Pelodiscus sinensis: one gene and its partners. The protein of the gene in region 1 binds, or shares a complex with, the protein of each later gene. Links are inferred from orthologs where the notes say so. Each region holds a gene or a part of one and is shown on either strand. Other genes may lie near its edges. The genes, in order: GNB1, corticotropin-releasing factor receptor 1, TRPM3 and CRHR2.

Evidence for each region.
Region 2: the proteins of GNB1 (region 1) and corticotropin-releasing factor receptor 1 are in contact, whole or in part, in a cryo-EM structure (PDB 6PB0), measured with the Homo sapiens proteins. The link is inferred for Pelodiscus sinensis from reciprocal best matches to the Homo sapiens genes GNB1 and CRHR1. Residues at the interface, in NP_001269468.1 of Homo sapiens: Arg42, Arg46, Arg52, Phe292, Val307, Ala309, Gly310, His311, Asp312, Phe335; in NP_004373.2 of Homo sapiens: Arg145, Ser146, Lys376, Arg380, Asp383, Lys384, Ser386.
Region 3: the proteins of GNB1 (region 1) and TRPM3 are in contact, whole or in part, in a crystal structure (PDB 6RMV), measured with the Mus musculus proteins. The link is inferred for Pelodiscus sinensis from reciprocal best matches to the Homo sapiens genes GNB1 and TRPM3. Residues at the interface, in NP_001153488.1 of Mus musculus: Lys57, Tyr59, Trp99, Val100, Met101, Leu117, Tyr145, Gly162, Asp186, Met188, Cys204, Asp228, Asn230, Asp246, Arg314, Trp332; in NP_001349418.1 of Mus musculus: Lys615, Arg616, Lys618, Ala619, Lys621, Leu622, Leu623, Gly624, Met625.
Region 4: the proteins of GNB1 (region 1) and CRHR2 are in contact, whole or in part, in a cryo-EM structure (PDB 6PB1), measured with the Homo sapiens proteins. The link is inferred for Pelodiscus sinensis from reciprocal best matches to the Homo sapiens genes GNB1 and CRHR2. Residues at the interface, in NP_001269468.1 of Homo sapiens: Arg42, Gln44, Arg46, Arg52, Phe292, Val307, Ala309, Gly310, His311, Asp312; in NP_001874.2 of Homo sapiens: Arg142, Ser143, Lys372, Arg376, Asp379, His380, Ser382, Val385.

Annotation. Positions count from the first base shown.
Region 1 is NC_134733.1:18,361,137-18,368,497, forward strand, and holds the start of GNB1 (guanine nucleotide-binding protein G(I)/G(S)/G(T) subunit beta-1), read right to left. Parts: upstream 3,012-7,361; 5' UTR 2,735-3,011; intron 2,616-2,734; exon of another isoform or gene 2,527-2,615; intron 2,481-2,526; exon of another isoform or gene 2,334-2,480; intron 1-2,333. UniProt on the Homo sapiens protein: Guanine nucleotide-binding proteins (G proteins) are involved as a modulator or transducer in various transmembrane signaling systems.
Region 2 is NC_134739.1:4,618,235-4,625,272, reverse strand, and holds the start of corticotropin-releasing factor receptor 1, read right to left. Parts: upstream 3,009-7,038; 5' UTR 2,605-3,008; coding exon 2,569-2,604; intron 1-2,568.
Region 3 is NC_134716.1:33,611,929-33,619,833, reverse strand, and holds the start of TRPM3 (transient receptor potential cation channel subfamily M member 3), read left to right. Parts: upstream 1-4,901; 5' UTR 4,902-6,336; coding exon 6,337-6,513; intron 6,514-7,905. UniProt on the Homo sapiens protein: Constitutively active, non-selective divalent cation-conducting channel that is permeable to Ca(2+), Mn(2+), and Mg(2+), with a high permeability for Ca(2+).
Region 4 is NC_134712.1:248,899,016-248,906,946, forward strand, and holds the start of CRHR2 (corticotropin-releasing factor receptor 2), read right to left. Parts: upstream 3,016-7,931; 5' UTR 2,881-3,015; coding exon 2,815-2,880; intron 523-2,814; exon of another isoform or gene 128-522; coding exon of another isoform or gene 110-127; intron 1-109. UniProt on the Homo sapiens protein: G-protein coupled receptor for CRH (corticotropin-releasing factor), UCN (urocortin), UCN2 and UCN3. Has high affinity for UCN.

The DNA of each region.
Region 1 (7,361 bases):
ATTGGTTATTTAGAGTATAACCAACAGCAAATGATGGATTATACAAAAATAAATTCAGAGAGCAGCAATTAAATTCCTGATCCATTATCAAGGGTTTAGAGGTCATCTGAATACAAGACATATTATAAACCAGCCAAATATTTTTAGACTAGTATAACATGTATTTTTTAAACTTAACAGTCATTTGAAAATACCTGAGAATAAATCAGTTGTATTAAGTACTAACTAGAGTCTAATGTAACATCCTCTATAAAATAAAAAGAAAGTTAATACTAGTATAAATAATAAACATCAAACTACCAATAGGGAATGTATGCCTTTTGCAATATAAAAGACCTCTTTTTGAAAGCCTAATGTAATTTTTAAAATATGACATGTACCATATAAAACGAAGGACAAGGTTTTAATATCCAAATAACATTTTTCTTCCACCTCTCTATTAAGGAAAGAATAATGATCTAAGTATGACAACAATTTCAGGTCAAATGCAGTTTTAGAAGCCTCCACAAATCATCTGAAGATTCTCAAGCAGAAAAGAGCTGCTCCTTTGTATCACAAAAAAAAAAAAAAGGCTACTTTGGGCCTGATTACTACTAGATTGGTAAAACAAAATTTTACAAAGCCATTCACACAGGTTTTTATATACACATTATAGATTATGGGAAAATATTTTTTAAAAAAGTCTATTTGTGGTTAAAATAGAAAACAAAGTAAAATGTTCCTAAATACCATTATAAGAGGCGTTAGATGGTAGAAGAAAATCATATTCGTGTTTTATCCAGTCACAGCCTACAGTGAAAATTTCAATAAAACTATTTACTCCTCCCACTTACTCTATCCTCCCATCTATATGGGAGAAAACCAACACAAATTAAAATAGAAAGAAAAACTCTGTTTGTTTTACCATTCCCTCAATCAACTTCCCACTGCAAACAAAAAAAATATGAGAAAGCAAACAGAAGAGACATTAACATATAAGAAATAAGATCTAGTTGAACAGAGCTAAGATGAGGAGTTGAAAATGAGAGAGCTGCCTTGCTGCAAACGCCATCTTGTTGCAGTTATTGGGCCCAGGCACAGGAGGGTCCATTCATTCACAGCAAAAAAGAAAATCAGACACACACCCTCGGTAAGCTGCAGCCACCAAAACAACTGCACTATTATCACCCCACTCCCCAAAAATACACGCTTATCTAGAATGTCTTACACAGAACACTTAAGCAGAATTTAAATCTCAGTGCAATCCCTTATTGTTTTCCACATGCATTTTACAAATAAAGTGACAGCACTTTTTCTTGATTCACATCCTTGTGCTTAGCAAACAAGCTTCAAAATGTGGAATAAGCCTTCAAGGACTGACTAGGTGCAGAAATGATCAAACTACAAAAATGTTTTGTCTCATTTCATTTTCAGTTTTAAATCCTTTCCTCTTGAGTTCAGTCAGTTGTCTGTAGGAACAGTTTCACTGGTTTTTTAAAGCTTCCGTTTATTGTAAGATGTTCTTTGCTCTTTGTTTCTACTGTGTAGACAATACCTAATAATGTAGCAGTTAATATGATAGAAAAGACACCTTATGTGAAATGAGTCCCAAGTTGTAACTTGGTCAGAGAATGTTGAAAAATCACCTTTGTTAAAATTTCAGCTAATCTTCACAAGTGATAAATTGACATCTTGGAATAACTCATCATCCCGACAAGGTTTTTTTTTAAAGTCTTGACTATTCCTAATCCATTATTCATTACTTAAAATATAAACGATTTTACATTTTTTTTAATTTTTACAAGCCGTTTTAGACTTGAAATTTTAAAAAGCCACACTTTGGAAACCCCTTAATGGATAAAAATGTACTGAAAACATTTTCATAAGGAAACTGTGAATTTGGGGGATGGGTATTGCTTTTAATATTTTTTAACATTTCATCTGTGCAGAAACTCCCTTAGTCTGCTGTAGCAAACATCCTCCATGATCTTTTATATTACACTTACAGGCACACGAAAATATGCAGCACCATACCAGATGGAGGAACAACAAATATGCAAGCTACATAAATCCCTTAGCTATGTTATTAACAACACTTACATACCCACCCTTCCTCCCACAGCCAAAAACAATGTGAACCCACCCTCCAAGCCCCAGATGTTCCCTTTCCTGGGCTAGGGACTGCTTGGAGTCTCACCCTGTTTGCCTCAACCTTGTCTCCTCTTAATCAATTTTCCACCATTACAGCCCCCCCCCCCACACACACACACACGTCCCGCAGCATTTTCTTGAGCCTTCCCGGGCCCCCCCCAAACGCGCTCCCTCAGTAGGGCTCAAAGTCTTTGCCAACTCACCTTTCTACCTTTACACATACACACACACAAAGAACAGCACCGTGCCTAGTGTAAATCACTCCAGCCTAATTGCAATTAAAAATGGAACCCTGCAAAATCCCGGGTTCTCCTCCCTTCTCGTCATAAAAAAGCCCTTCAAAAGAAAGCCTCACTCCCACCCTACCCCCACCCCTTCCTCCTCCGGCAGCTAGAGCCTGGCTTGCGAGGGGAAGCGCGGGGGGGGGGGGGTATTTTCAGCCTCTCGATGCTGAGCAAGCTGGGGGCAGAGGAGAGGTGGCAAAGGTGGGGCTGCGAGGGGGGAGGGGCTGCGAGGGGGGAGACGAGGGGGTGAAATGGGCGGGAAGACAGAGGAAGGAGGGAGACGGGGCAATCTCCGCGGGAAGGGGACCCCGGGCCTTTACCTGCCCCTCCGGCCGCTGCTCATTAACGGGGCCGCTGTGTCCGCCGCCCGCGGCCCGTGCCCACTCTTCGCTGCGTCCCCGCCGAGTTGGGGGAGCCGCCCGCGCTGCGTCTGGCCGGTCCCGGGGTGGCGACGGCGGCTCGGAGGGGGGGGGGGATTGGCTCTCGGCTCCTCCTCGCGCGCTTGGTCCCTGCTCAGCTCCCCGCAGCCATCGGGAGCCGGAGCCTGCCTGGGCGCGGTAACCGCCCCGCCCGTGCGGCCGGGCCGGGAAACCCCGACTGCCGGTCCCGCCCCGCCTCCTGGGCCGGCCCCTCCCCGCGCCCACAGCGGCTGTGGGGGTGACGAGGGCAGGAGGGCGAAGCAGCGCAGGGAGGAGGTGGGGGAAGGGCAGGGGAAAGAGAACTGGGGGTGAAAGGAGCAAAGGCCATAAGGCGACTGCAAGGGCGGGGGACGGAGCCGTCTTTGTGGTGCGAATCCCCCTGGAGCTCGATCTCGAGCCAGCTGCAGCCCGAGGGTCAGACAAAAGCTCTTGAATGTGTCTCTCAGAAAACGGTGGGGCGGGGAGAGCGCGAACGGGGCTGGGGCCAAGGGAAGTCTTCCTAGTTGTGCCATATTGCTGGGGGGTTTTTTCTTTCCTGGATCATGAAACGCAGTTTCACTTTCTGGTTCCCAGGCTCCATATTGCAGGGCTTCGTTTGTTTACTGGTCCTGCCTCAGCAGGCGACTGGAAGTAACTTCTGGTCGTCTCTCCCGCCCCGCACTTTTATGATGCTAGAGGGGAAATGTTTAAATCCGGAGGTAACAGTCTCCATGTCTTTCCAGCAGTCGGCCCTTCCTAGGAGTGTGTGAAACCCAGGACAAATCTGTTTCCTGACTAGTTTTGCTGTGTGCCTGGTTTGCCCATCCACCCCTCACCCTCCATCCACCCACCACGTGCCTCCTCACTTACCTGCCCATCATTCACCTCCTCACTAGTCTTCTTGCTGTCCATCAGCACCCTTGTGGTCCACCCGTGCCATCCTCCAGACCACCACTCACCTCCTCTCCATCTATGCACCCTCCTGGCCTCATCCCCCAGCCCGTTTTCCAGTTGCCCACCTATGTCACCTCCCACCTGCCAAGTATCAGGACAAATGGCATGCTGATCATACATCGCTCTGAATGGGGGACAAAGCAAGGGCCCCCCCAAAATGAGAAGTCACCCTGATTTGCCCTACCCCACAGTTCAGGTTTTGTAAAGGGTCACCCATTTTTTAAAAAATTGAATTTTGAGTCTGGCCTATGCAGAGGTGCCCCTGCAAAGAAAAAAAATCCTTCTGGTACAAAATCAGTATACTTAACATGATAATATATTATCTCTACTCCCAAAGAAGTTAGGTTTGAAGAAAGAAAAGTGCACAACAATAGTCTGAGACTTAAATTAGTTTTTTTAATTTTTAAAGATATAAGAAACCAATGTGTTTTCAGAGTTTTGGAGAAATGTTCCTAGGCAAGAAGGTTGAAAGCAGTTCCCTTTTAATTTATCATATTTTCCCAGGAGACTTAGAAAAAAGCAGACACATAATCTGGTATAATCAAACATAGATGTCCCAGTAGGGCAGGGGTGGGGAACCTCAGGCCTGGGGGTCGGATGCTGCCCCCCGTTTGCCTGGAGCCAGCCCCCAAGGCTCAGAGCTGCCCCCAACATTGGGGAGCCCAAACTGGTGTTCCAGTCCCCTTACTGCCCCATTGTGTGGCCGGAGCACACAAAATCTACTTGCCTTCCCCTGACCCCCCTCCCTTCCCGGCTCTGGTGTGGGAGGGAAATGTGGGGAGTGTCTTTTTCCTTCTCAGTGTAGGGCCACTTCAGTGACTTTTTTTTTTTTGTGCTTCTCATTTGTGGCTCCCGACTGAGTCAGTGGCCCCTAACCCAAAAAAGGTTCCCCTTCCCTGTTGTAGGATTTTATTTGTATTGCAGAAGTGCTCATAGCCCCAAAAGAACTCAGTTGTACAGATAGTAAAAGGGAGTGTCTATTTCAGTGAGTTTAATCTAAATAAGCAAAAGAAAGGAACAAAAATACTATTCTTATTTTACAGGTGAGGATTAAGGTACAGAGAGATTAAGTGATCTGCATTCCAATTTAGTGGCCTACCACCTCGGCCTACTTTCCTAATGGCACAGAAGTAAGTATGCAGATACATTGATCTTTTTCCATTAATGGTCTCCCCTACATTTTCCAATACTTTATTACATTAAATCACATTTCAGAATTTCTCTTCTTGCCTAACTAGTTACAATGAAGCCCAGGAGCACCAAATAAACTCTTTAAAATACACATAGTAAAATCCACAGGGGAAAAAAAAAGTGGCTTAAAATCCTGCCTGTATATGTGCTGATAAAACTAGAAAAGAAAAATAAGACCAATTGCTTAATCAACCGAAGAAAATAAATTGCTTCTTGTAGCTTCAAAACTTTCCTCGATAGGTCATCAGTTGTCTCCTTCTGGATTTAAATTGCCAGGTATGTGAGGAAGTGCATGGTGGGAAATGTGTTTATAAAAAAAAATAAAACCTCCCACCCCCTCAGAATTGGGTGGTTATGGATAGTTACTAAGAGTAAGAATAGTTTTGGTGATTATGATTCAGGTGAATGAGTTACTTGATGTGTGTTAGTCTAGTGTGAAATAACTTAGGTAACTGTGTTTTTGTATATTTTTGTTTATATAATCATTGTTCAGGTGTGTTTTGAAAAAACACACATCCCGTGTTGGAAGTTCAGAACTCCACCCTCAAACTTGTCTATAAGAAAACAGGAAACATACTTATGTGTCTATCTAGAACAGACAAATGAGCATCACAGTTTTTGGGTTACAGTCTCAGTTCTACTATTGTTCCGGTGTGTAACTTCAGGCAGTTTACTTACGGCTCATTCCTACAAATTTAATGGATGCTTACTTCATGGACAGTTCCAATGAAGTCAATAGAAGTCAATGTGTAAAGTAGGGCATTTGTCTAGATGTCCACAAGACTGGGGCCTTGAACTCTCTTATGCTTCATTTCGCCTATCTCTAAACTAGTGATGAGATTTAACTACTTAAGAGGCTTATTGTCTGCTTTACTGGGTACTGGTAAAGAGTTTGAAGAGTAATTGTAAGCATACCTATTGCAATGTTCCAGTCAAAACAGCCTGTCATTGGAGTGATAGGATTTCTTGAAAGGTATGTTTCATAACACATATATAGATACATAGGTGTGGAATTTTTAAACACTGAGATTAAGATATCCTTTTTGAGACCCTAAAATTTGTGGTTAATGACGGGGAGACCACCCAGTATTAAATATACAAAAAAGAGCTGGCATATAAAAAGCTAAAAACCTGTAATATCAAGGAGAGTTCTGGTCTGAAAGCTTTTCTGGTACTGCATCAGCTTTAATTGCCAAAACAGATTGGCCCATTTCCAATCTGACTATGTCCAGAAGTGTCTTGGCAGATTTAAAGTCAAAAAGGTATTTTGTCTTTAAACAAGGCTCTGAGCTTGCTGAGAAAGAGAAAATCGCCTTTTAGTCTTCTGAGATGGTATCTTTCTCTGGGTGTAGGTCCCATATCTTTCCCTGTATTACTAGACTTAAAAATATATGGCAAGGATGATTTGTTATAATCATACAATAACAAACCAATGAACATTTATTCCCCATAATTTCAAGTATCTGTGACATTAGGTGACACACATTCCTGCTGCTTTGTCCTGCTTTATATTGCTTCTCCATTCTTATATTCTACTCTCTAGAAGATTAATCTGGCGTTGTTCTGCGGCAGGACTGGGTACGAAGCATTCAGTATGCAGACTGCCCAGGGAGACAGGACAACTCCAGCCCTCTCTCTCTGCAGAAACTTGGAGCCAGGTGGGAAGTGCCTGTCTAAGACTGCTGCAGCTGCAGTGGGCATGGCTGAGGGATGGGTGCATGTTTTCCATCTGGGGGACAGAAAGACACATATACAGACAGACACACAAACTCTCTGAAATATATAGAAGATAGCTGTCCCTTTCTCCGTCCCTGCCGCCCCAATGGTGCTATAGCTGTCCTAGTCCCCATCTCTGGCCTATTGCTGTCCCTCTGTGGTCATTCTGCAGTGTAACTTCCTCCTGAGAAACCCCTTCCTTTCCATTTTATGAGAAACAGTCGAATTCCAGGCACATCCCATTGTCCTGGCACAACCATGCCCTTACCTTGCTTTATGTTACGATAAGAGGAAGCCGCACACCAAATGTGGTGTTCCTAGCTATTACCATTTAGGAAAGGGAGGGAAAAATACAGCCCTCCGGCTGGATCTGGCCTGCTAAGCTTCCAGATCTGGCCTGTGGGAATCTCTGCCAGGCTCTCTGCCTGACTTGCTCCTGCATACTGCTCAGAGCAGCTCTCTGAATGTTGCAAGCCTCAGGGGAAGGGAGAAGAGGCTTCGCACACTTCCCTCACCCCCAGCAAAATCTTGCAGCTCCCATTGACTAGTAACTGGCCAATGAAAGCTGCCTGTTTTCAGAGTAGAAGTGTGCAATGTACCCCTCCCCACTCTGGCTTTGCATAGTTAAGAGCCACACATGACCCCTGCATCAGATGGAAGGCAGGGACTCTGATTGAGGAACCAGATG
Region 2 (7,038 bases), on another chromosome or scaffold:
GGAGGGACTCGTATGTCTCCCAAGCCCTGCAAAGACTGCCCAGGACTGAGAGACACAGAGGCTATGACTTCTTTGCCCTTGAGAATAGTAGCAGCCCTTCCCCGAAGAGGCCCCAAGTAGGAGGAATATCATAGAACACTAGAACTGGAAGGGACCTTGAGAGGTCATTGACTCCAGTCCCCTGCCCTCACAGCAGAACCAAGCACCCTCTAGACCATCCCTGATAGATATCTGTCCAACCTGCTCTTAAATATCCCCAGTGATGGAGATTCCACAACCCACCTAGGCAATTTCTTCCAGTATTTAATCACCCTGACAGGCAGAAAGTTTTTCCTGATGTCCAACCTAAACCACCCTTGCTGCAATTTAAGCCCCTTGCTTCTTGTCCTATCCTCAGAGGCCAAGGAGAACAATTTTTCTCCCTCCTCCTTATAACACCCTTTTATACTCCATCTCCTCTTTTCGAAACTAAACAAGCCCAATTCTTTCAGGCTTCCCTCCTAGGTCAATCATGGGAGGTGCTGAGAATAAAGTGTGGGAAGGAAGTGTAATGTGATTCATCAGAGGTGTGTTAGTTCAGGTAACCCTCTAAACCGGATCCTAGGAAGGGAGATTTTGGTCAGATATTAGGAAAATCTTTCTAACTATATGGATAGTTAATCTCTGGCACAGGCTTCCAAGAGGTGTTGTGAAATCTCCATCCCTGCAGGTTTTAAGGAACAAGCTGGATAAACACTTGTTGGCCCCAGGCTACGACAGAGACAAGAGGGGAGAGGATGGACCGACTTCTGTTGGAGGGAGGGACCATCATCAAAGCTACTCAGAATCTTCCTCAGGTCTGGGGAAGGAAGAACCCAATGGTCTAGAGATGCTCTGGGTCAGCCACAGGACCCTGCAGCCCACATGCCAGACATGGCTCATCCGGCTGCCAGGCAGGTTGCTTAACTGGGCATGTGTTAGCCAGGCCACTTGCAGCTCCCAGTGTCCAATGGGAGCCACAGAAAGCATTGTGGGCTGGGCCACCACATCCCTGCAGCTCGCATTGGCCAGGAACGGCAAACCACAGCCACTGGGAACTGCGAGCAGCTGTGCCGCTCAGAGACACAAACCATATGGAATCCTGCCTGTGGCGAATCTCCATGATTCTAGGTTCTAGGTTCACCTGGTTCTGCCTCAGCACAGGTGCAGAACTTCCCCTCCATTGCCAGACTCTATGAAGTGTGTTGCCTTGTAATTTCATTGTGCTGGATCTGGTGTGTTATTTATCAGTTTACCTAGACAGTATAGACCCGGACCTAGCTAAGGCTGCCCTCTACTCCACTTTCATCCCTCTGCCCCACTTGGTCAATTGCTCGGGATCTCTTCAAATGGTTTGGGATGAACTCCCCAGAGGGGCTCTGGACAAGGGTGTGGACAGAAGTGACAGGAAAGGGGCAGTTCTTCCTGAGCTCAAAGACGGGGAAAACACAGAGGAGCATTTAAACGCTAACTGGAAACAGACAATATTTCCCATGATTTTTGTAAAAAAAAAACAACCTCAAAAATCCAAAGCCTACCACGAATGGTGCGACCATAACATTGCGCGAGAGCTCTCTTCATGCAGCATTACGGTAGCACAGCGACTACAACAGAGACTCGGCTCATCCAAGGCAGGAGCGTGGAACCGCGCTGCACCCTTGGCGCGCGTTAGCACTTCCGAGTAATTCTTCCCAATGCTCCGCGCTGCTGGCACTTTGGACGCCCCGGTTTTCCGGGTAACACGAGGGTCTGCAATTACTTCTGTCGCACAACCGACAAGCTTGCAAAGCGCCGCTGCGCCCAGAGGGCCGGTCGAACTTAGCCCTCCGCCTTTGCGGACTGTCTCTGGCCGCTGCGGGCTTTCCCCCGCCGGGAACTCAGCGGGCTGCACAGAGCTGGTCCCCTCTACACCGGCCCAGAGCGAGCCGCGTTCTGCCACCCCCGCGCCGGGGTTTGCCAAAAATGTTCGGGTGCTCGTCGAACCCCCCCCCCCCCCCTTGGCACCGTGTGGGTTGGGTCTGGGTTCTCAGCGGAACCCGGCACCTCGCCCGGGGGAAAGGCAACGGCTTGTCCCGCCCGCGGCTCCAGCTTCGATGTGTTCCCACAAGTATCCCTCGGACCGGGGCCGGTGCAGCGGGGAAAGCGGGCGGGCATGTCCGGTAGGGGCCCTGCCGGCTCCAGCCAGCCAAGGCAGCGGGGGACTCGACTCGCGGCCACTTTCAGGGAAGCCGGGAGCAGATGGTTCCGCGGGGAACCAAGCCGGAGCCGCGCGGAGCAGCGCGCCAGGGGATTTGCCGGAGCAAGCGGGGCTCGCCCTCTCCCAGGGCTGCCCCCAGACCGCGTCCCCAGGACGACCCCCGGGAGCCTTCCCTCTTCGCTCTGCCCCGGCTGGAGCGCCCGCGGCTCCTTGCATGGCGCGCTGCTGCGGGCTCGATACATCGCCAACTCGCCCCCAAGTGCCGAGGCCGGGACAGAGGCGCCCCCGGCGCAGCTTGTGCCAATGCAGCCCGCTCGAGTGAGCGGGGTCCCTGGACAAAGCCCGGCTCTTACCTGCAGGGCGAGGCTCGGACCTGGCCGCAGCACCATCCTGGGGCTGTTAATTCCCCCCTGGCCGGGCTCCGGCCGGCATGGCCCGTCTGCTGCCGCACTGCTCGGGGATGCTGGTGTCGCGGAGGAGCGGGGAGGGAGCCAGGTCTGCTTGGCAGGAGCCTGCCTGCGGAGCGGGCTCTCCGGGAGCAGGAGCTGGCCCCCGGCTCTCGCCGCCAGCCCCCGGCCGGTCCTTTTATAATCCTGCTGCGCTCGGGCTGCCCGGCTCGCCGCCTTCCGGCTCCCCGGCTCGGATGGGGCTGGGTTCCAGCCTCCCCCCGGCGTATCTCCTCCTCCTCCACAGCCCCCCTCTGCCCTCGGCACTTCACCTGCCCAGCCAAGGGCAGCCCCGCCCGCGCCAGCGGCTCCGCTCTCGCCGGTTCCTAAGGGGGCCGGTGCTTTGCGGCCAGCAGCGAGGCTGGTGCTGCAGAGGCTGAGCCGGGGCGGGGCGGGGGGCTCTGCCGGAGGCCGGGGAGGAGGCGGGCTGGGTATTTTAACTCCCCCGCTGCAGCGCTGCAATGGGCAGCCCCCGGGCACGGGCAGGAGCCCCGCCGGGGCGCACACGGGGGGCTGGGGCGCAGGATGCAGCGGGCGGCTGGGGCGGGGGCGCTGAGCGGGCGGGACAAGGCGGGGGTGCGGAGTGGGGAGCTGTCCCGGGTGCGCGGCGGAGGCTCTGCCGCCTGCCCCACTCCGGTGCCGGCCGCCGCCTCTGGTGCTCCGGGGGTGGTACTGCGCCCTGGCGCCTTCCCTCCTCCGGACGGTGCGCCCTGTCTGCCCTCCCCAGCGCGGCTGTGCCCTTCCCCAGGACCAGCAAATATTGGCAGCTCCTGCTGCCCACGGCAGGTGCCCGCGGGCTCAGTGCGGGGCAGCCCTGAGCGAACCGGAGTGAAGCCGCAGCTCTCCGGCCAGGCACGCGGCCCATCTCGCACCCCTGGACACGGGAGCGCCTCAGCGAGTCCTGTGAATTCAGACTCCAGTGCGCTTCCAACCGGGATTTAAATCAGCGTGTTTTATTCCCATCGTACAACTGGGGAAACTGAGGCAAGAGGCAGCGACAAGAGTCGTGACTTTGCCGGGGGGGGGGGGCAATTTAAAAGTGCTGATTCTTAACCACCCCTGCTCTAACTGCTAGACCGTTCTGCCACTCCAGGGCCCCTCTCACTTTCCCTGGAGTCCCTAGGAGAGAGCCAGGACAAAATAGCTCCTTGGTTTGTTTCTTGGCGGTCCAGCACCCAGGCTATAATTTTCAAGCTGTTTCCAGGCCAGGAGGAACAGACCTGGTAGGCAGAGGCTTTTGTTCCTTGCTGCCCAAGGTGCCTGGACTGAGGAGGTTGGCAGAGGAAGGGATTGCCTTTATAAAATCAACTAAAGCAGTGGCTCCTTGCAATACAATAGCCTGGCTGCAATTCCTGGGGCCAGGAGACTTGGGCTGCCTGGACTGAGGGGATATTCTCTGATGCTCAGAGACCCTGTAGCTTGCTGGGGGTTGCGGCAGTGCCAGGGCTGCTGCACTGTTGTGTTTTTCTTGCCAGTAAATCACTTTGAGTGGGACCTGAGGTCCCCTTGCGGTGAGCACCCAGCATCCTGCACTGCGGCTTCCCATGTCACTCTGCAGGCCTCGGTGGGCAACGGCGCTAGCTGCCTGAACCGGTTTGTGGAAGGACGGCTGCACGGCTGGGTAGGGTGCTGGAGGAGTGCCTGCCCCAGGGGGATTCCCTGGGAATAGACCTGCCAGTGAAGAGCCAGTGAAAAGGGGCTCAGGGAGCCATGTCTGTGCCGACATTCGCCCCCGGTTTGCTGGGGACTGAGCAAATCTCTTGCTTTTGGCCAATAGAGCACCAGGTGCTTTACAAAGGAGTGCAGCATTATTGTTCCCATTTTACCGGTGGGGAAAGTGAGGTACAGAGAAGTGAAGACACGTGCCCAACATTACCCAAAAGGCCAGAGCAAGGAACTCAGTGTTTCTGAGTCCTGAGTGTTCTGTCCACTAGGCCTTCCTGCCCCCCTGCTGCCGTCCTACTACCACCTGGTTCTCGGGGTATACTCCAAAGACAAGGGATTTGCTTTTTTCTGAAGCCTGGGGTGCCAGGAGTCAGCCTCCAGCAGAAGCAAGAGGCCATAAGAACAGCCATACTGGGTAAGACCAACGGCACATCTAGTCCCACAGTGGCCAATGCCAAGTGCTTCTTTGGGAATGAACCAAACAGCCAATCATTGAGTGTTCCCGCCCCTGTCCTCAGCAGAAAGGGCAGATTCCCTGTCAGTTCCAACAGCAGTTCCCCCTCAGTCAAACACTGCTCCTGCCAATTACTGTGGCAGGAGTAGCCCTGGGTATCCTGGACAGATAAACAGGAGGTCAATGGGTAGCAGGTTTAAAACTAATAAAAGAAAGTTCTTCTTCACACAGCGCGTAGTCAACCTGTGGAACTCCTTGCCAGAGGAGGCTGTGAAGGCTAGGACTATAATAGAGTTTAAAGAGAAGCTAGATAATTTCATGGAGGTTAGGTCCATAAAAGGCTATTAGCCAGGGGATAAAATGGTGTCCTTGGTCTCTGTTTGTCAGAGGCTGGAGAAGGATGGCAGGAGACAAATCGCTTGATCATTGTCTTCAGTCCACCCTCTCTGGGGCACCTGGTGCTGGCCACTGTCAGCAGACAGGATACTGGGCTAGAAGGACCTTTGGTCTGACTCAGTACGGCCATTCTTATGTTCTCATGTAATACTGCAAGAATGATAGGATAGAAACCAAGCCTTAGTAAAGCAACTGCTTGCCTGATTCCTCCTATCCCCATTCTTAAGGCTCTTTTGATTTCAGCTGCTTAACTAAAGAAAAGGGCTCAAGAGTTGAATTTAGTTTTATAGCGTTTTGTAAAATACCCATAACAACAGTTAATGAACAGTACAGGAGATAAGAAGGCAAACATGGATTCCTCCATGGTTCCCTGTTCTGTTCATTGCCTTTGGGGCACCTGGCATCGGCTACTGTAGGAAGACAGGCCACTGGGCTAGATGGAGCTGTGGTCTGATGCAGTCTGGCTGTTTTTATATTTTTATGTTTTGGACTAAGACATGGCTAATGCCAACTAGAAAATTGGTCAATATAACCATGTAGGATTTCAGAATTAAATTACACAGCCACAAGAGACCGTGACCCTTATCCTTGGTCACTAGGTAGAAATGCCGACTAGGTTTAGATTTTTGACTAAGTCCCTTAGCGTAGGCTCTGTGAAAGCTGTTCCCCATTCTGGCACTTGAATGCAGAAGGTGGGCCCCGCAAGAGACTTTAAAATACCTCGCCAAATGCCAGTAAAGACTTCTGTTTAAAAACTCTCCAAGGTCACAGAATCCCTGGCCTTGGATGGGTATCGCTGCCACCACCCAAATACAAAAAAAAAAATAAACAAATTTGAGAACCCAGGAAGATGCATTTGGGAATTTCTTCCTGTGAAGTACCCTCAAGCTCTTTAACTTTCCCTCTGGTGAGAGCTTGAAAAAAAAACAACCAACCCTGTGATTTTTCTATGCAGTCTTAGGCATGTGCACACAGAACCTCTTGCCTTTTAGACACAATCAGATCACAATCTTCAAGTGATTTTTATCAACAAAACAAGTAAGTTTTTACTTGGTGAACATTACTTGGTTGAAAGTCTCAGGGGGTAGCCGTGTTAGTACATAACTCTAAAAACAACAAGCGGTCCTATGGCACCTTAGAGACTAACAAGTATATTGTAGCATGAGCTTTCATGGGCACAACCCACTTCATCAGTTTACTTGGTTGCTAGATGTTACAGCGTAACTGAGAAAAAGTAAGAGAACAGTAAGAGTAACTGAAGTAACAGTAAAAGTAACTGAAAAAACCCCACAGAGAATTGCTTCCCTGGGATTCAGTTTGGAGAATAACGGTGTAAGGAGGTTACATGTGCTCTCAGGGTATGTCTACATTGCAAAGTTAAATCAAAATAACAGCTGTTATTTCGAATTAACTTTAATAGCGTCTATACATGCAAACTGCTATTTCGAAATTCATTCGAAATAGCGGAGCGCTTAATTCGAATTTAGTAAACCTTATTCTATGAGGAATAACGCCAAATTCGAAATAGCTATTTCGAATTAGGTGCTGTGTAGACACTTAATTCGAAATAGGGGGCCTCCAGCCCTTCCCAGGGAGCCCTGGTGACCACTCTGGGCACAACCAGGAAAACTTACTCTCCTCTCCCCGAGCCCCGGAGCCATTAAATGGGTAGCTGCCTGTGCCAACTCCAAGCCTGCCAGCCCAGAGCCAGCAGTGGCGACTGGGGCCCCTGATCCAGTGGCCCCAAAATATAAGCCAGCAAGCCACTGGCAGCCAGCCCTCCACCGCTCCCCAGGACCAGTCTGCCAGCTCCCAGGAGCCTGCCAGGGGCTGGAGAAGGCAGGCACCTTCCTGGTCCAGGG
Region 3 (7,905 bases), on another chromosome or scaffold:
TAATTCAGAGTGCACAATTTTCTGGACAATGCTTTATTATACTGTCTGCTGACCGGTCTTGTTCTTGTGTCTTCTGGCTTACTTAAGTATTGTGATAGTTTTCAGGATAATAAAACATCTAAGGCTATCCTAATAGCTTAGTGACCTATTTGATTTTGATTTCCAGTTCCTTGCTTCCAAGGCAAGAAGTGATTGGAAGTATTGGGGAGAGATTGCATTCAGTCTCTTGGATCAGTGAACAACGGCACATCTGGAAACTAAGCAAAACTCTCAGATGCTTAGGGAACAGCAGGTAATCTTCCTCAAATGGAAGAATTGATGGCAGTGAGATAAGGTTGAAAGATGTAAAAGGAAAGGCCTTGTACATTGTAAAATTTTCAGTGTTTGGCATAATTATGTATTATTAGGAAGATGAAGTGGGAATTAGATTGATATTTGGTGTGTACCTGAACTATAAAAATAATGTAGGTATTCATGTACTCTTCTGGCAGTGGAAGATGAAATAGAAGATAGCTTGTGAACAGAATGAGTATTAGGTGTAGTGGGTTAAGAGAAACAACGGCATAGTCAGTCTTGAATTCCATCTGACTATTGTAATATAATCATAATATAATATAAATCTTCTGACAATTGGAGATTTAAACAGAGTTTCAAAGTCTTCCCAACTACCATGGGAATAAAATATATATACAACTTATGTGAACAGAATATAAGGGGCATTTGAACATGACACTTCTGCTGTTCCCTAGGAGAAGGTGAACCTAGAGGAAGATGCACTGGGCTGGGACCCAGAGGCTATGTCTATACTGCATATTTATTTTGGAATAAACAATTTCGGAAGAAATATTCCAAAATAGCTTATTTCAAAATAGCATGTCTACATGCCAAGAGCTCATCAAAATAGTGCCGAGCTTTTTAAAAATAGAGCTCCCACACTGATTAAATGCTAACTCGCATTTAAGGCCACCAGGAACCACTTCAGACAATCCCTCAGGCAGCAGCCATGGGAAGTATCTGAGGCTCTTGCTTAAAGGGAATTTTCGAATGAGGAAGGACACCTTTCTGGAGCTCTGACTGGTTCACCCCTGCCCTCAAGCAACAGGACTCTCACATGAGACCCACCATCCTCCCTCAAAAAGTGGATTGCGATAGCCCTCTGGAAGCTTGTGCAGGTATGGTGCTCTCGGGCTATTGTCCCAGGATGGGGGAGAACTGCTGGAATGGAGTTCCCTAGGGAAAGGGGGAACTTTGGGGTGGTAGCACTGGTGCAAGTCCCCAACCCTGCCGGGGGATGGGGTAAATGGTGGAGTTGCTCCTGGTGTGTGTGAAAGGAGGGGGGATGGGGGGAGTACATCTTCCAAGGGCTCTTGCCACCCTCTGATTCTGTTTCTTTGTCTGTCTCTCCTTTTACAGGTGGTGCTGGCCATCAACACCATTGTGCTGCACAGGGTCAAACACCTCAGCGTAGTGGAAACCATCATTGCCGCCTTTGCCAACATGGGCTTCCCCAACTGCAGGGGAGGGGAAAGTAAGGGCACCCACATCCCTATCCAGGCATCCGTCTATATCAACCAGAAGGAATATTTCTCAATGGTCCTGCAGGCCATCAAGGACCACTGGGACCAGTTTACAGACATCTACGTCGGGTGGTTGGGGAAGGCTCACAACGTTCCTGTCTTCTGCAACTCCAGCATGTTCCAGAGGCTGCACGCAAGAACTTTTTTCCCCAACTGCACCATCAGGGTCAGGGACGTGGACATGCCCATGTACATGGTAAGGGATGTGGCCTACCCTCTGTAGCCCTGGTTCATGATGTCCTACACCAGCCACCTGGAGCACTCTTGTTTAATAATTTACATAAAGATACTTGATTATCTAAGAGGCATATGAGGCTAAGAAAGATACGATTATCGATGAAATAAAAGATCCCAAATATTATGGTTATCTATCCATTCCTATTCTAACCCATTATCATCTATTGCTTTTCTTTTTGCTAAATTTTAATTATTTGGCTGAAATTTTCTAGATACATTCTTTCTCTGTTTTTAATGTTTCTTTATTTAAGTGTTAGGAAAAAATGTGAAGCACTTTCTGACAATGAGTGAAGTGAAAATAGGTAGTTTTAACAATCTTAAAACTATCTTTTCAGAAATGTTCCCTCTAATCTTTTTAATCTATGTGAAGATTTATTCTGTCCATGTGCAGAATAAATTTTATGTGCACCAACACATGTCAATGTGCACCACTAGTAGAAACAACAACCCCTAGCTGTGGATGCTCTACTAACCAGTTGGGCGGCATTTGAATCTCTTCTGAGCAGATGCACAAGCACACAGCATACAGGAAACACTGCTTTCCAGATTTTTTTAAAGAGCTCTAGCTCCTCAGGAGTTTTCAGCAAGACTTGAAGGCTACGTCTAGATTGGCAAAAGCACTTTTTGCGGAAAAGCGTCCCTGGCCAATCTAGACACGCTTTTCCGCAAAAAAGCCCCAATCGCGAAAATCTGAGCTGTCTACACTGGCCTTTTTGCGCAAAAGTTTTGAGCAAAAGGGACTTTTGCCCGAATAGAAGCAGCATAGTATTTCCGCAGAAAGCACTGATTTCTTACAGTAGGAAGTCAGTGCTTTTGCAGAAATTCAAGCGGCCAGTGTAGACAGCTGGCAAGTTTTTCCGGAAAAACGGCTGATTTTCCGGAAAAACTGGCTGGTCTAGACACAGCCGAAATGTATCAGACAGTTCAGTGGTGAGAAAGGTGGCCTTGTTTTCCCTGTGAAAATTCATCCAGACTTTGCTAAACAACAAGCTTCAGAGAGCCACTGTCTGCACATGTGCAGAAGAGCTTAGAATCATAGGGCTAGAAGAGACCTCAGGAGGTCATCTTGAATCCAGCCCCCTGCCCAAAGCTTGTTAAACTCTGAACATTCTCCCTGCCCTGCACATCCTTCTCAGTCTTTAATGAAACTCTTCCATCATTTTGAAGCAACCATATAGACAAAAATGTATCCTGCTCCTGCTTCTGACCTAGCATAAAATGCATTGGGTTGGGACCCAGGGAGACCTTAGTCCAGTGACTCTGCTTTCCTGCTGACTGATGTTGATAATTCTTGTGCCTTCACAATCCTTAGTACTAAACTAAGCCTCTACCCCTTGATTAAAAAGGGAACATGACTCAGCCCTCCTTGCTCCTCTCTCAATTTCACAATAAACTTTACCCCCTTACACTGAATGAAGCATGGGACTTCTGGAAAAAAATGGAAAGTGATATGTAACTAAAGACAGTACCATAATTCATCTGCATAAAGGGAATTGAATTATGGTCACAAAGGCAATTTTGGTTTGTTTGTTTTGTACTTGACTTTGCATCCTTAATAAAAACTGAAGAGATACAAACATCAGCCTAAGTATTTGTTTGTATATATAAATTAGATTGTGGCCATTCACAAAATCCTGCTTTTTCATGCCATTATCCTTATGAATTACGCCTGGTGTCACATGCACGATGAGAGAGAAATTCTACTGTTTATGGTTCAATTTTTTGTTTAATGTGGAGTTTTGATTTTAATCTTTTTGCCACAAAATATATCCCCATTTTGTAAGTGAGGCTGTCAACGCCAATACTCTAAATCAGAACTCCCACCCTCCCTAAAATCAAACTTCACTACATTAAATTAATGTCTTTCTATCACTGGGTAACAAAACTGGTGAAATAACCTCACTTGCTTTTTCAAGCACCAAAGGGACTGACTTCTCAACTGTCTATAGCTTAGAGTTCTAGTTATTGAAGTATTTCTGTATTCATAAATCCTGCCATAGACTCTTACTCTACTCCCTCCTCTTTCTGAAAGACAGAGAATCCCAGCTTCCTTGAATCCTATCATGAAAGGGAATCTTCTGTCTTCCTTGTGACCAGAGAGTGTCCCACATTTTTGGTGGGTTCTAAGATATTTTGAATACAATAGACAAATTCTCTAATGAATTAACGTGAATAAAAACCATCCACACATAAGAAGGCTTTAGATTTTACAGTGGCTAACTATATTCCCTGATTTGGGTGGTTTGCTTTCTAACAGTTACGGTCAGAGCTTCAGAAGCCAGAGGAAACATCATAGTAGACCTTGGCTTATAAAGGTTAAAATATTAATTTAACTTTTTACAATGTGTGTGCCCATTGTAAACATAAGATTATGAATTTGCTTCTTATGACTCTCTTTATTGGGCAACCCTACTGATTTGAGTGCAGATGCATTTCACTAAAAAGCCATTGAAGCTACTTAGGAAAGGAACTGAACCTCATTGCTATGTAACAAAACCTTGGAATATTTACATCTCTTGGGAAGAGAAATATCCTCTCAAATTACCTACTTGATCAGATTCTATAACAGAAGGCATTAGGCTTCCTAAACTCATAAAAAGTATTTGGCTATTAGCTTCCAATCTACATTTAATAGAGCTATTAGCATTATTTTGCATTTGCTGACCTAGCCTTCCTGCTATTACCATGGCATTAAATATGCTGTGAAGCAAGTGCCAACAACTCTCGACTTTACTGAATCACATTAGATAACCTGGATATAAATGGGAATAATGTGCACCAGGCTATATAGAATGGATCTGATTTGGTTTAGATATTTAATTTAGATGAGTGATGTACACAAGTATAGCAAATTACTTCCACTAAAACATTTCCTTAGAAATTTGTGTAAGGAGGGTTAACTGGTATGTGCAAATCAAAAGCTTTAAACATTTCTTAGGTATTCCTTGACACCTATGTTATACCTTGGCATCCTAAATGATCCTTGAATAAGTGGAGAATTCCAGATGATCTTTTTAAGCATTACCTTTATAACTACAAAAAGTACAATGGAATGTGTGTTCAAGCTCAAGGATTTACTGTGCTGCACCTTGAGACACCTTGTAGTCAATATTCTAAATTTGAATTTGGAGACAAGACCATTACAGTGCTCTAATCGTTCCTAAGCTGTAGCCTAATAATTACAAAAGGGAACTACTAGCCCAAAGCCTTTCCTGCTCTTGAGTTGTACCGTCAGTTCTATGCTATGGTCTGCCTGTGACCTCCTATAAGTTACTGTAAACTTTTGTTTCTCAGTTTCTTCATTTACAAAATGGGGACAAATAAGAGTGACCTACACCTCACAGGAGTATTGAGGGACTTGGATTTATGTTGCGGAAGCTCTTTGAGATTTTTAGGGCGCGAGCCACTTTACTACTGTAAAAATGTTACTCCGTAAACCAAAGGATACAACAACTCTCCTGCTCCATCAACAACTCCATTAGCAATGGCTGAATCCCAAGCCGGGAATGATTTTGTGTCCTACACGGCGGCGTGCGCTGCCTAACCACAAAGAGCATGTTCCAATAGCGAAGGCAATTTACCTCTCCTTCTCGCACAAGGTAATGTATTTCCTTGCTTGCACTGCCTCAGATAACAATTGCATGCTTAATTCCCTGGTTCCTGGGTTGCAACTTCAATACACTCTGTTGCAAAATAATAACAGTTTAATTGTCTCTCCGCTCTTGCTTCTGTGAATGAAACTTGACCTTTCACATCACGGTCGTTTCGGATCAAATTTAGCAGGTTAATATACAGCCGCTTCTTCATAGCTCTTCGCCCTTGGGGATCAAAATGATTAAAACCGAACAAACTCATGGGGGGAGGGGAGGAATCCCACACGTGTCCGGCTTGCTGCTGCAACAATCAACCTGCAGTGCAATTCGGCGGATGAGTTTCACCTGCCACCTCTCTCCAAACTCGGACGGGGAGTTATTTTTGCCCGCGATGGGAGGCACATCCCGGTAAATGAGTGTCAGGAAAGGGGAAGGAGACGCTTCCAGCGTCCCCTGCAGTTGGCACTGACCATCTTGGGAAAGACCAAGGCACAGTGGAGCCTTTCTCCAGCGGGGAAGGTGCTCGGAGAGGGACAAGTTCTGTGCCCACGAGCTGCCGCCAGCCTGTCCCTCCTTCGCCAGGTGGGATCAGGTGTGCGAGAGGCTGGCAGGGGAGGGGGCAGGGCCGCCTGTCCCGTTATCTCCTCCCTTGCCAGCGGCTGGGGAAGAATTGGGCGAGGGGAGCGGAGACGGAGGGAAGAGCGGCTGGTTCTGCGCCAGCTGCTCCCCCCGGTCTCTTGGCAACGTCATGACAAGCGCAACCTGGGCGCTGCTGTGGTAGCTGGCGAGCAGCGGGAGCCGGCTCCTCGCGACCCCGCCCCAGCGGCAGCCCGGCGCCTCCCGGGCGCGCAACAGGCGCGCGGAGCGGGCGAGCCAGCGGGATCCCGGCGTGGCGGCCCCGCCGCCGCCGCAGCAAACTTGGCTGGAAGATGGGGAAGAATTGGCGGAGCCCGAGCGAGGCGGAGCGAGGCTGCTCGGAGCAGGAGGACGCGGGCAGGAGACGGAGCCGCAGCGCCAGTCGGGGGCGCTTCGCCGAGTCCTGGAAAAGGCTAAGCTCGAGGCAGGGGTCCACTAAGCGGGCTGGGCTCGCTTCCCAGCAGGTGCCGGTAAGTGCGAGAGCCCGGGCCAGGCGCCCTCCCTGGAAAGCCCTTGGACTTGCTGCGGGGGGACTCGAGGAGGGCTCCGTGAGCGGCCTCTCCCGGGGGCAGGGGAGGGTTTCTGCGGGCAAAGCGGCTTCACGGGGGCACCCGCTTCATTGCGCGGGCTGTGGGCAGCTCTGGGGCTCGGGTCCATCCTTCATCCTCCCTAACCGCTCCAGCGCTGAAAACCCGTCTGCGCGGGGGGAACGCCACTCCCTCCTCGCACTTGTTGCGCTAGAAGCTTTCTCCGTGAGCCAGTCGTTGCTTTGGGTCTCCCTCCCCTTGTTGAAATGACCAGATACAACCGCGCCCCCCTTCCCCCCCAGTTGCTGGAGGTATTCTAGAAAAACATGTCTTATGTCTTCTGACTCTGTCTGGAGACAGGGGCAGGGAAACCTGTTGCTTGTAGCTGCTGGAAGAGCTGAGGAAAAAAGAAATGTGTTTACTGTCTTGGTTATACTGGTGATGGAATGGACTGAATCCTCAAACCAGAGCCCCCAAAAACCATGTACATACCTACTGGCATCTTCACACGACATTGGGATTTTCAGTTTCCTAATGGTCGGTAACTGCTACTGGAACCATCTCACATCCCTCCTTTTATGGTGGGTTTTTCTTTCCCCTTAAACTCGCGTCTGAAAGTTTGTCTCTTGAAATAATTTTAAATCCTCTTTGGAGGCAATGCGCTATGAACCGTGTGAGCTGTTGAAACGTGAGGGAAAACTGCATTCAATGAGACACACCCTATTTTAGGTTTTAACTTTTATTTTTCCCAAATATGAGGCTTTCATAAAGTGTATTAAAAAGCTTGTATTTCTTGCTTAATAGAAATTTTGTAAGGTGGAGTGACAAACATATTTATGCATATACACGCGTACATGTATTTGAAAGTACATCTCCAGTATCTTTTCCTGACAAAATTAACAAGAAAACTGAGGGGACAGTATAAAACTCTTTGGGCTGTTACAAATTTATTTTTCTCACTTTACTTTGAGTACTACTGCTGTCTTCATTTGCTTAGGAAAATACCATATGTTCTTACCAAAAACCTGTTGCTTTGGTTCTCAAGTTGTGCATTTGGTTTGATAGAATTAGTAATCCTCCCTCGTTCTCCTCTCCCCCCCTCCCCCCCCCCCCAAAGTATATGATAACTTGTTAGCTGTCATATTGGAAGGAAAATATCCACAGGTTGACTGCCCTATTGGGGGGAAAACATAAGGGTAAAAGGTCCTATAAGTGTGCTATGACAACCAGAAGACATGTGGCGAAGCAATACTACTCTCATCTATAGGGAAAACTCAGTCATCTGTAACACTTGTAGTTTAAAATTATAATCTGTTTTTTAAAAGATGAAATCAT
Region 4 (7,931 bases), on another chromosome or scaffold:
AAATCAAAACACTTTAAACTAGATTTTGGTGTCTAAGGGCCTGATCTTGCAAACAATTACATCTGTTCTTAATTCCCCAAATGAAAGTGTGTAACAGGGTGGCACTCACCTCCCATAAGACCCCCATCTGGCCAAGTGCATGTGCTTGCACTGTTCTTCAGCCTTTTTTGGCTACTCAACCTTCTGGCCAAGCCACACTCCTATGGGCAATGCAAACCCCTTCCAGGATACACACTTAACAGGTGTCCATCCCTGTGCCTGCTGCTAGTGTCTCCAAATCTGTTCCTCACTGGGAGAGTGGTACCTCCAGGGCTTCCCCTGAAGGAAACAACTTCCTTGCCCCTCGTTCAGGGCTCTATCACAGTTCATCAGTCTTTAGCCAGCTCTCCCTTTGGATCTGGTGCCCCTTCAGTTTCTTTCCCCACTTGGAGAGAGTGGCATTTCCAGGGCTTCTCCACTTGGAGACAGCTTCCTCAGCTAACTTCACAGTCTGCTCTCCTTAAACTCTGTCCTGCACTGACTGCTGCACTGTTTTGCAGTTCCCTTTGTAAGCCTTCCTAATCCCTGATTGGTCAGTTCCTCCTGCAGACAATCTAGCCTCTTTGGAAGACTTCTCTATTGTTTGCTGGGACTGGGTGTGGCAAGACCACAAACTTCCAGCAGGGGGCTTCAGGGCCTCATTCACCCCCATTACAGAATCCCTTTAACTTCAGTGGGACATGTTAAGTGCTTAAAGTTAAGTCAAATATATGCTTAAAGGCTTTGCTAGATTGGAGCCAAAGTTTGAAATTGTTGGACATTATCTCTCTGGGCTACAGTTTCTCCATCTGTAAAACAGGGATAACAAGACACATCTCATAAAGCACTTTGAGATCCAGGGATTAAAATAAATAAATAAAACTGGTCTTTTCGTGGTTTGGGGGGGATTGATGGGGCTGATAAAGAAAAGAAATAGCTATTACCTACAAAAAGCAAGAGTTATCATATACATTGATATAACTATGTACTGACCTTCTGACACCAGATGCTTGGCAGAGCTAGAGTCTGAGAGGTGGACTGTGTGGGGCAAATGTAGTATAACTGGGTGTGGTTCACTATCCCATGTACTGGCACATAGACCACTTACAGAGCAAAAGAATGAATTTGGTCCACAGCCTTAGCTAAAGCAGCAAGAAGTCCTGTGGCACTTTATAGACTAAGGGACGTGTTGGAGCATAAGCTTTCGTGGGCAAAGACCAGATGGTCTTTGCCCACGAAAGCTTATGCTCCATGCTCCAATACTTTGGTTAGTCTGTAAGGTGCCACAGGATTCCTTGCCGCTTTTGCAGATTCAGACTCACAGTGCTACCTCTCTGATGCTCCACAGCCTTAGCTAAGTGGCAGCTAGCTTTATAGCTTAAGCTGTAGAGGCCCATGTACAAAGCTCCACGGGTTTAGTTCTGCCTACTGGTTACAATAGCACAACAGAAGTATGGCAAGGGGCATAAAATAGAAGCCAAAGGTCAAGGAGGATGACATGAAAGCAGAGACTTAGATAATATTCCTCTAGCTCCCTCATGTTTGTTTTCCAACAAGTTTTTCAGTGCACTTTACAAACATCACTCATATATACAAAGTGGTTCCCCCACGCCCCCCCCCCCCCCCCCAGAGATGGAATAAGTAAAAATAGAAGGCGAAGCAAGAGGAAACAAATCAATATACCTTTAAGGAATGTCAAGATGGACTTTAGTAGAAGACACAATGATCATCTCTTATTTCTTTTCACACTGGTGACTGAGATACAGAATCATGGGGGGACCAGAATCATGGGGGGACCAGAATCATGGGAGGGGGGAGTTTGCTCTGCTTTGCAGATTACAACTCACAATTTAATGGGTTTTGGGTGTGGAGAAGGAACTGACTGGCAAAGTTTAAGTCCATGGTGAGCTATGACAACCCAATTCCCTCCCCCCAGCAACATATTTGCAGAGTGGGATGATTCTGCTCAAGGGAAATAAATCCATGTCATATTGCCCAGGTGAAAACGGAGCAAACGTTTGGAAGGATTGGCTGAATTCGCCCTTAGGGTTGCAAATGCTAAATTGTGAATCCTGCTGTGAGAAAGTAACGCAGGGAGGAATCAGCCGAGAGTGAATGCCAGCTCGCAGGACCAGCTCTCGGTGCCTTAGCCAAACAACTAAACATACTGCAGCGAGATCAGGGCATTGGGACTCCGCTGAAAAAAGGTTTCGGGGTGATCTCAGGGGGCAGGGGGTTTTCGGATGCCTTATTTCACGAAAGTTACTCGAGACCGTTGCTAGACGACTCCTTGCTCAGTGGGGGAGCGGGGCCGCGATAAAATGGACCATAGTCCGGTGGCACTTCGGAGACTAACTCAGAGCTAGGGATAGTCTCCCGGGCTGGTGGCTCCGGGCAGTCCGTGGAGTGGCGATTTGGCGGCGGGGGGGGGGATTCGCCGGGACTCTGGGAGACCGCGGCCGCTCTGGGAATCCAGCGGGTCCCGCTGGGCCGGTGCCAGGGCTTTGCTGGATGACGAGGGGGCGGCTCAGCCCGGAGGGACTCCTGTGCGGGGGAGAGCGAGGCGGTGCGCGGCAGCCGGGTGGGTCCTGCTGGCTGCGCGCTGGGACTGGGGTGCCGGGGGGTGTTTGGGGTGCCGGGGGCTCTGTGCGGTCCCGGAGGGTGGCTTTGCGCGGGGGGGGGGGGGTCTGGGGAGCCGGGGGGTGACTCAGTCTCTGGGGCTCCGCTTTGGGTGATCGGGGCGGCTCTGCCCCCCCCTCCACACTCACCCCCTCCTCCAGCCCCCCGGACACTTACTGGGAGGAGCAGGAGCGCGGCGGCCGCGGCGGCTGGGACGCTGCGCGGCGGGGCCGGCCCCCCCATGGGGATGGGGATCCCGGGGCGCCCGCGCCCCCTCACCGCTCCCACGGGAGGCGCATCCCCCCGGAGCCGCGCGAGTTCCCCGGCTGGTGCCCTGCGAGGGAGGCAGGGCGCGGCGCGGGGAGCAGGCAGCCCTCCGCCCCCGCCTCCTGCCGCCGCGCTGGGGCCGGGACAGCCCCTCCCCGCGGGCACCGGGATCCCTCGCAGCGCCCCCTCCTCCGGCCGGGCCCCCCCCGCGGGGCGGAGAGTGGGGGGTCCCCACCAGCGCCCCCTCCCCGCCCAGAAACAGAGGCGCCCCGGGAGCTGGCACCGCTTGGGGAGGGAGCGGAGACATCGCGCGCGCGGGTCCCACCGAGCCCTGGGCACAGTGGATGGAAGGAGCCGGCTCCCTCCATCGCAAGATCCCCCCCCGTCCAGGCCCTCGTTCCCCGCCCCCACCCGAGCTGGGACCCCCTTCCACGGGTGGGCTGTGGGAGTGAAACCAGCGCTCACCCAGCGCAGGCGGGAGACGCATTGGAGTGACTGGAGCCCCCCAATTTGAACTACCCGGCGCTTGGGCAGCACCCTCCTCAGGTTTTTCCCGTGGCAGTACAGGGCAGTCTACACCGGGGCAGAACAGGGGCTAGCCAGGTTGTGTATCCTGGAAGTCCCCGCAGGCAATCACATGAATGTGACAGGCTGTCTCACAGAGGTCCCCTTGGACTGCCTCACCTTGAGCAAACCACTGAGCCTCTACGCACCTCACCGCCAAGGTGTGCCCTCTATTTTTTCCATCCGTGTGCAGAATAAATTTTATGGTGTGCACTGTGGTATGTGAGGATGTGCACCACCAATAGACACGCTGTCCTGTGCATCCTGAAGCTCTGGTCTCCCCCAGAGTTGGGTAACAGCTCCCAGGAGTAACACAGATGCTGGACCAGCTACGCTCTAGGAAGGTTCAGCTAAAGGGGCTTGTCAGCATCCAGGAACACAACCCTCCAAGGGACCAAACCCCAAATAAATTTGTCTTACTCTATATCAAAGTCTCATAAGGGCCACTCTCTTTATGGATGAAAGAGAGAGATGCACAACTGTGCCTCCCCTGCAGGTAATAATTATTTACACTGGGCTTGATGATAAATTTTTAAATTTTTATTAAGTATAAAAAGTAGAGTTTCAGTGAATGTAAATGAAAACAGACAGATCAAAGTAAGTTACTAAGTCCAATTAAACCAAACTGGCCACTTAGGCTTAATACACTAAGAAACCTGTTACATGCAAATTCATACCCTAAGGCTGTGTCTACACTGCACCCCTTTTCCAGAAAAGGGATGCAGATTAGACACTTTGGAATAGGCAAATCCGTGGTATTTGCATTAACATGGCTGCCGCTTTTTTCCGGCTTGGAGATAAGCCGGAGAAAAGCGTCAGTCTAGACGTGATTCTCCAGAAAATAAGCCCTTTTCTGGAGGATCTCTTATTTCTACTTCAAAGTAGGAATAAGAGATCCTCCGGAAAAGGGCTTATTTTCCGGAGAATCACGTCTAGACTGGCGCTTTTCTCTGGCTTATCTCCAAGCCGGAAAAAAGCGGCAGCCATGGTAATGCAAATACCGTGGGGGATATTTAATTCCCCCGCGGATTTTGCTATTCCGATGTGCTACATTAGCATCCCTTTTCCGGAAGGGATGCCAGTGTAGACGTAGCCTAACAGTAGTTCTAATAATCCTTTTCAGAAGCTAAGCAACCAGCCAGCTTGGCCTGATCCTTCCCCCAGTTCAGTCTTAGATGTTTCCAGCATGCATCTTGAGTGGTAATTGGGGGAAGGTCTTCTGGCATCTGGTCACTGCCCTATTACTTTGTTTCCCACCTTTAGATCTCCCTTGACCAAAGCAGGAATTCTTTGTGTTCAGTATAAACACATGAGTGGAAGAGTACCAGATCCAAAATGGGTTCCGGCCTCAGGTGGCCAGGTCACATGTTCTGGCAGACCAATCACAATCCAGGCTTATAGAAAAAAAAAAGACTTTTCACAGCTTATTGGCTTAAATACTGAGCCATTTTTTTCTAGAGTATCACTAATGGTTCTCGTTAGACCATCTAGATTTAAAAACAGATTCTCATGTCATATTTCTAACTTCACATACAAGAATGACATACGCACAGAAACAGAAAAAAAATTCAACAGATTGTAACTTTAAAAAGAACATGTCACATGATGCATTTTGCCTAAAATGTCTGCAAGTTATGCATATGCATATTCATAAGACAATTTTCATAAAGCGGAGGTCAGGTCCCTTCTGGCATGAAACTCTGTCAAACCTTATTCTCTTCCTTACATCCTTTAAGGCTTTAGTGGGAAACATTTTCATAAGGCATTGCTGCATCCTCACTCCCTTTATTTATTCAACTGTTATTTCTATTTACATTTGCCTGCTTGGCCCTAGAGGAGAAGCTTGTTTTAAAGAATCCCGGTTGGATTAAACTCAATATTTGTTTTAGTTTTTAAAAAATTATACACTTGTTAATAGAAAAGTTGTCATGAAAACTGGAAAAAAATGGGAACCAGGTGTTTTAATGGGATGTTAACATTCACTGGCAGGGCAGCATCGTACACACAGCAGGATTGCACTAGTCATGAGAACTTCTGTGTGTACGTACGTGGCTGTAGGCTAGTGCCTTCAATTGGATTTTGTTCTGTGCTCATGACTGGAGTATTGAAAAGGATGTTAATAAATTGGAGAAGGTCCAGAGAAGAGGCACAAGAATGATTAAAGGATTAGAAACCATGCCTTACAGTCACAAACTCACTAGATTGAGCTCCTTGGCTGCATCTAGATTGGCATGATTTTCCGGAAATGCTTTTAACGGAAAAGTTTTCCGTTAAAAGCATTTTCGGAACAGAGCATCTAGATTGGCACGGACGCTTTTCTGCAAAAGCACTTTTTGCGGAAAAGCGTCCGTGCCAATCTAGACAGGTTTTCCGCAAAAAAGCCCCAATCGCCATTTTCACGATCGGGGCTTTTTTGCGGAAAACAAATCTGAGCTGTCTACTCTGGCCTTTTTGTGCAAAAGTTTTGCGCAAAAGGGACTTTTGCCTGAACGGGAGCAGAATAGTATTTCCGCAAGAAGCACTGATTTCTTAAAGTAGGAAGTCAGTGCTTTTGCGGAAATTCAAGCGGCCAGTGTAGATAGCAGGCAAGTTTTTCTGGAAAAGCGGCTGATTTTCCAGAAAAACTGGCCAGTCTAAACACAGCCCTTGAGTTTAACAAAGAGAAAGATAGGGGCTAACTACATCACAATCAAATAGTACCTATGCGGAGAACAAATATTTGACGCTGGGCTCTTCAGTCAAGCAGACAAAGGTAAAACACAGGCCAGAGGCTGGAAGCTGGACCAAGACAAATTAGGTTGAGAAATAAGGTGGATATTTTTAACTATAAAAACAAAGCAGAGAGAGTGAGTGAGTGCATGAGTACACACACACACACACACACACACACACACACACACTTAGCAAGTGTAGGACCAGTGTTAATAAGGCCAATTCAGTCAGGTGCATGTGGCTTGCTCCCAGTAGTTAATGGGGAGGTGTGAATACCAAGAGAAGGAAAATTGCCTTTGTAGTGAGATAACCATTTTGAGTCCTTATTTAGTCCTAATTTGATGTTACATTTTCAAATGGATTGAAGCTCTGCTGTTTCTCTTTGCAGTCTGTGTTTTAAGATTGTTGCAGAAGGATGGCTACTTTTAAATCCATTGAGTGTCCAGGGAGGTTAAAGTGTTCTCCTACTGGTTTTTGTATGCTACCTTTTTTGATGTCTTATTTGTATCCTTAATTAATTTACTGAGGCTTGCAAGGGGTTCTTCCTCTTGAAAGCTAGATTGGATGTTTCTTAAAAGGTTATTTCTCAACTTCCCCTGCGTCCAGACTCAAGTCGCGTTCTTTCGAAATAATTTCGAAAGAACGCGGCTTTTCTTTCGATGGCGGTAAACCTCGTTTCACGAGGAAGAACGCCTTCTTTCGAAAGCTCCTCTTTCGAAAGAAGGCGTTCTTCAATGTAAAGAGGCCGTCTTCGAAAGAGAGCATCCAGACTCGCTGGGTGCTTTCTTTCGAAAAAGCGGATTTCTCTTTCGAAAGATCCGCCTGCAGTCTAGACGCGATCTTTTGAAAGAGGCTCTTTCGAAAGATGCTTTCGAAAGAGCCTCTTTCGAAAGAAGCCTGCAGTCTAGACATAGCCTCGGAGTAGTAGTTGGAGGAAACAGAGTAGGCACCTGAAGTTTGTGGTTAGCCAGAACAAGACATATAAATAGAGCCCAGAAAATCTGCAGCTATCCACGGGTATTCGTATTTGCAAATGTCAGTGTAGATATCCACAGTTCATTTTTGCAGATACAGATGTGGATGCAGATTCAAATTTTGTATCCGCGCAGAGCTCTACATACAAATATATGAAGGATCATGGAAAAAGTTTCTTATGAATGCAACATAGCCACAATATTTATAACCACCCTAGTGGGCGGTTACTTATATGATTATATGTCTAATTTAATGTAACAACTAATGACTGAAAGAAAGAAAAGTTCTGTCTAAGCATGGCTGTAAATATGAGCCAACCTTCCACCAAAGCAGGGTATTAAAAATTCCAGGAGACTAAATTAAATAAATAAAATAATAATATAAAGCAGGGCTATTCAACTTTGGAAGCCCTGGGGGCCACAATGATACTCACAACACACTTAAGTGTGGTTGCATATACATGCAAAAATATGTGCAAATAGCTTCTTTCACACTGACGGGTGTGAATACAAAGATTAAGACAAGACTACACAACATGTAGGTCCCATTCAAGTCTGTTCTTCTGATATTAATAAAATGCACTATTTACCTGATTTCCACCAGTATAACAGCACTTTTAATGAGCAATAACAGTCCAGACATTTAACTACAGGCAGTCCCCGGGTTACATGGATCCGACTTACCCCGTTTGTAAGTAGGGATATGACGTGAGGCAACCCTGCACTAGCTGCTTCCCCCCAGCAAACCAGGGAGATGCGGAGCGGCTTTTCTCAGCA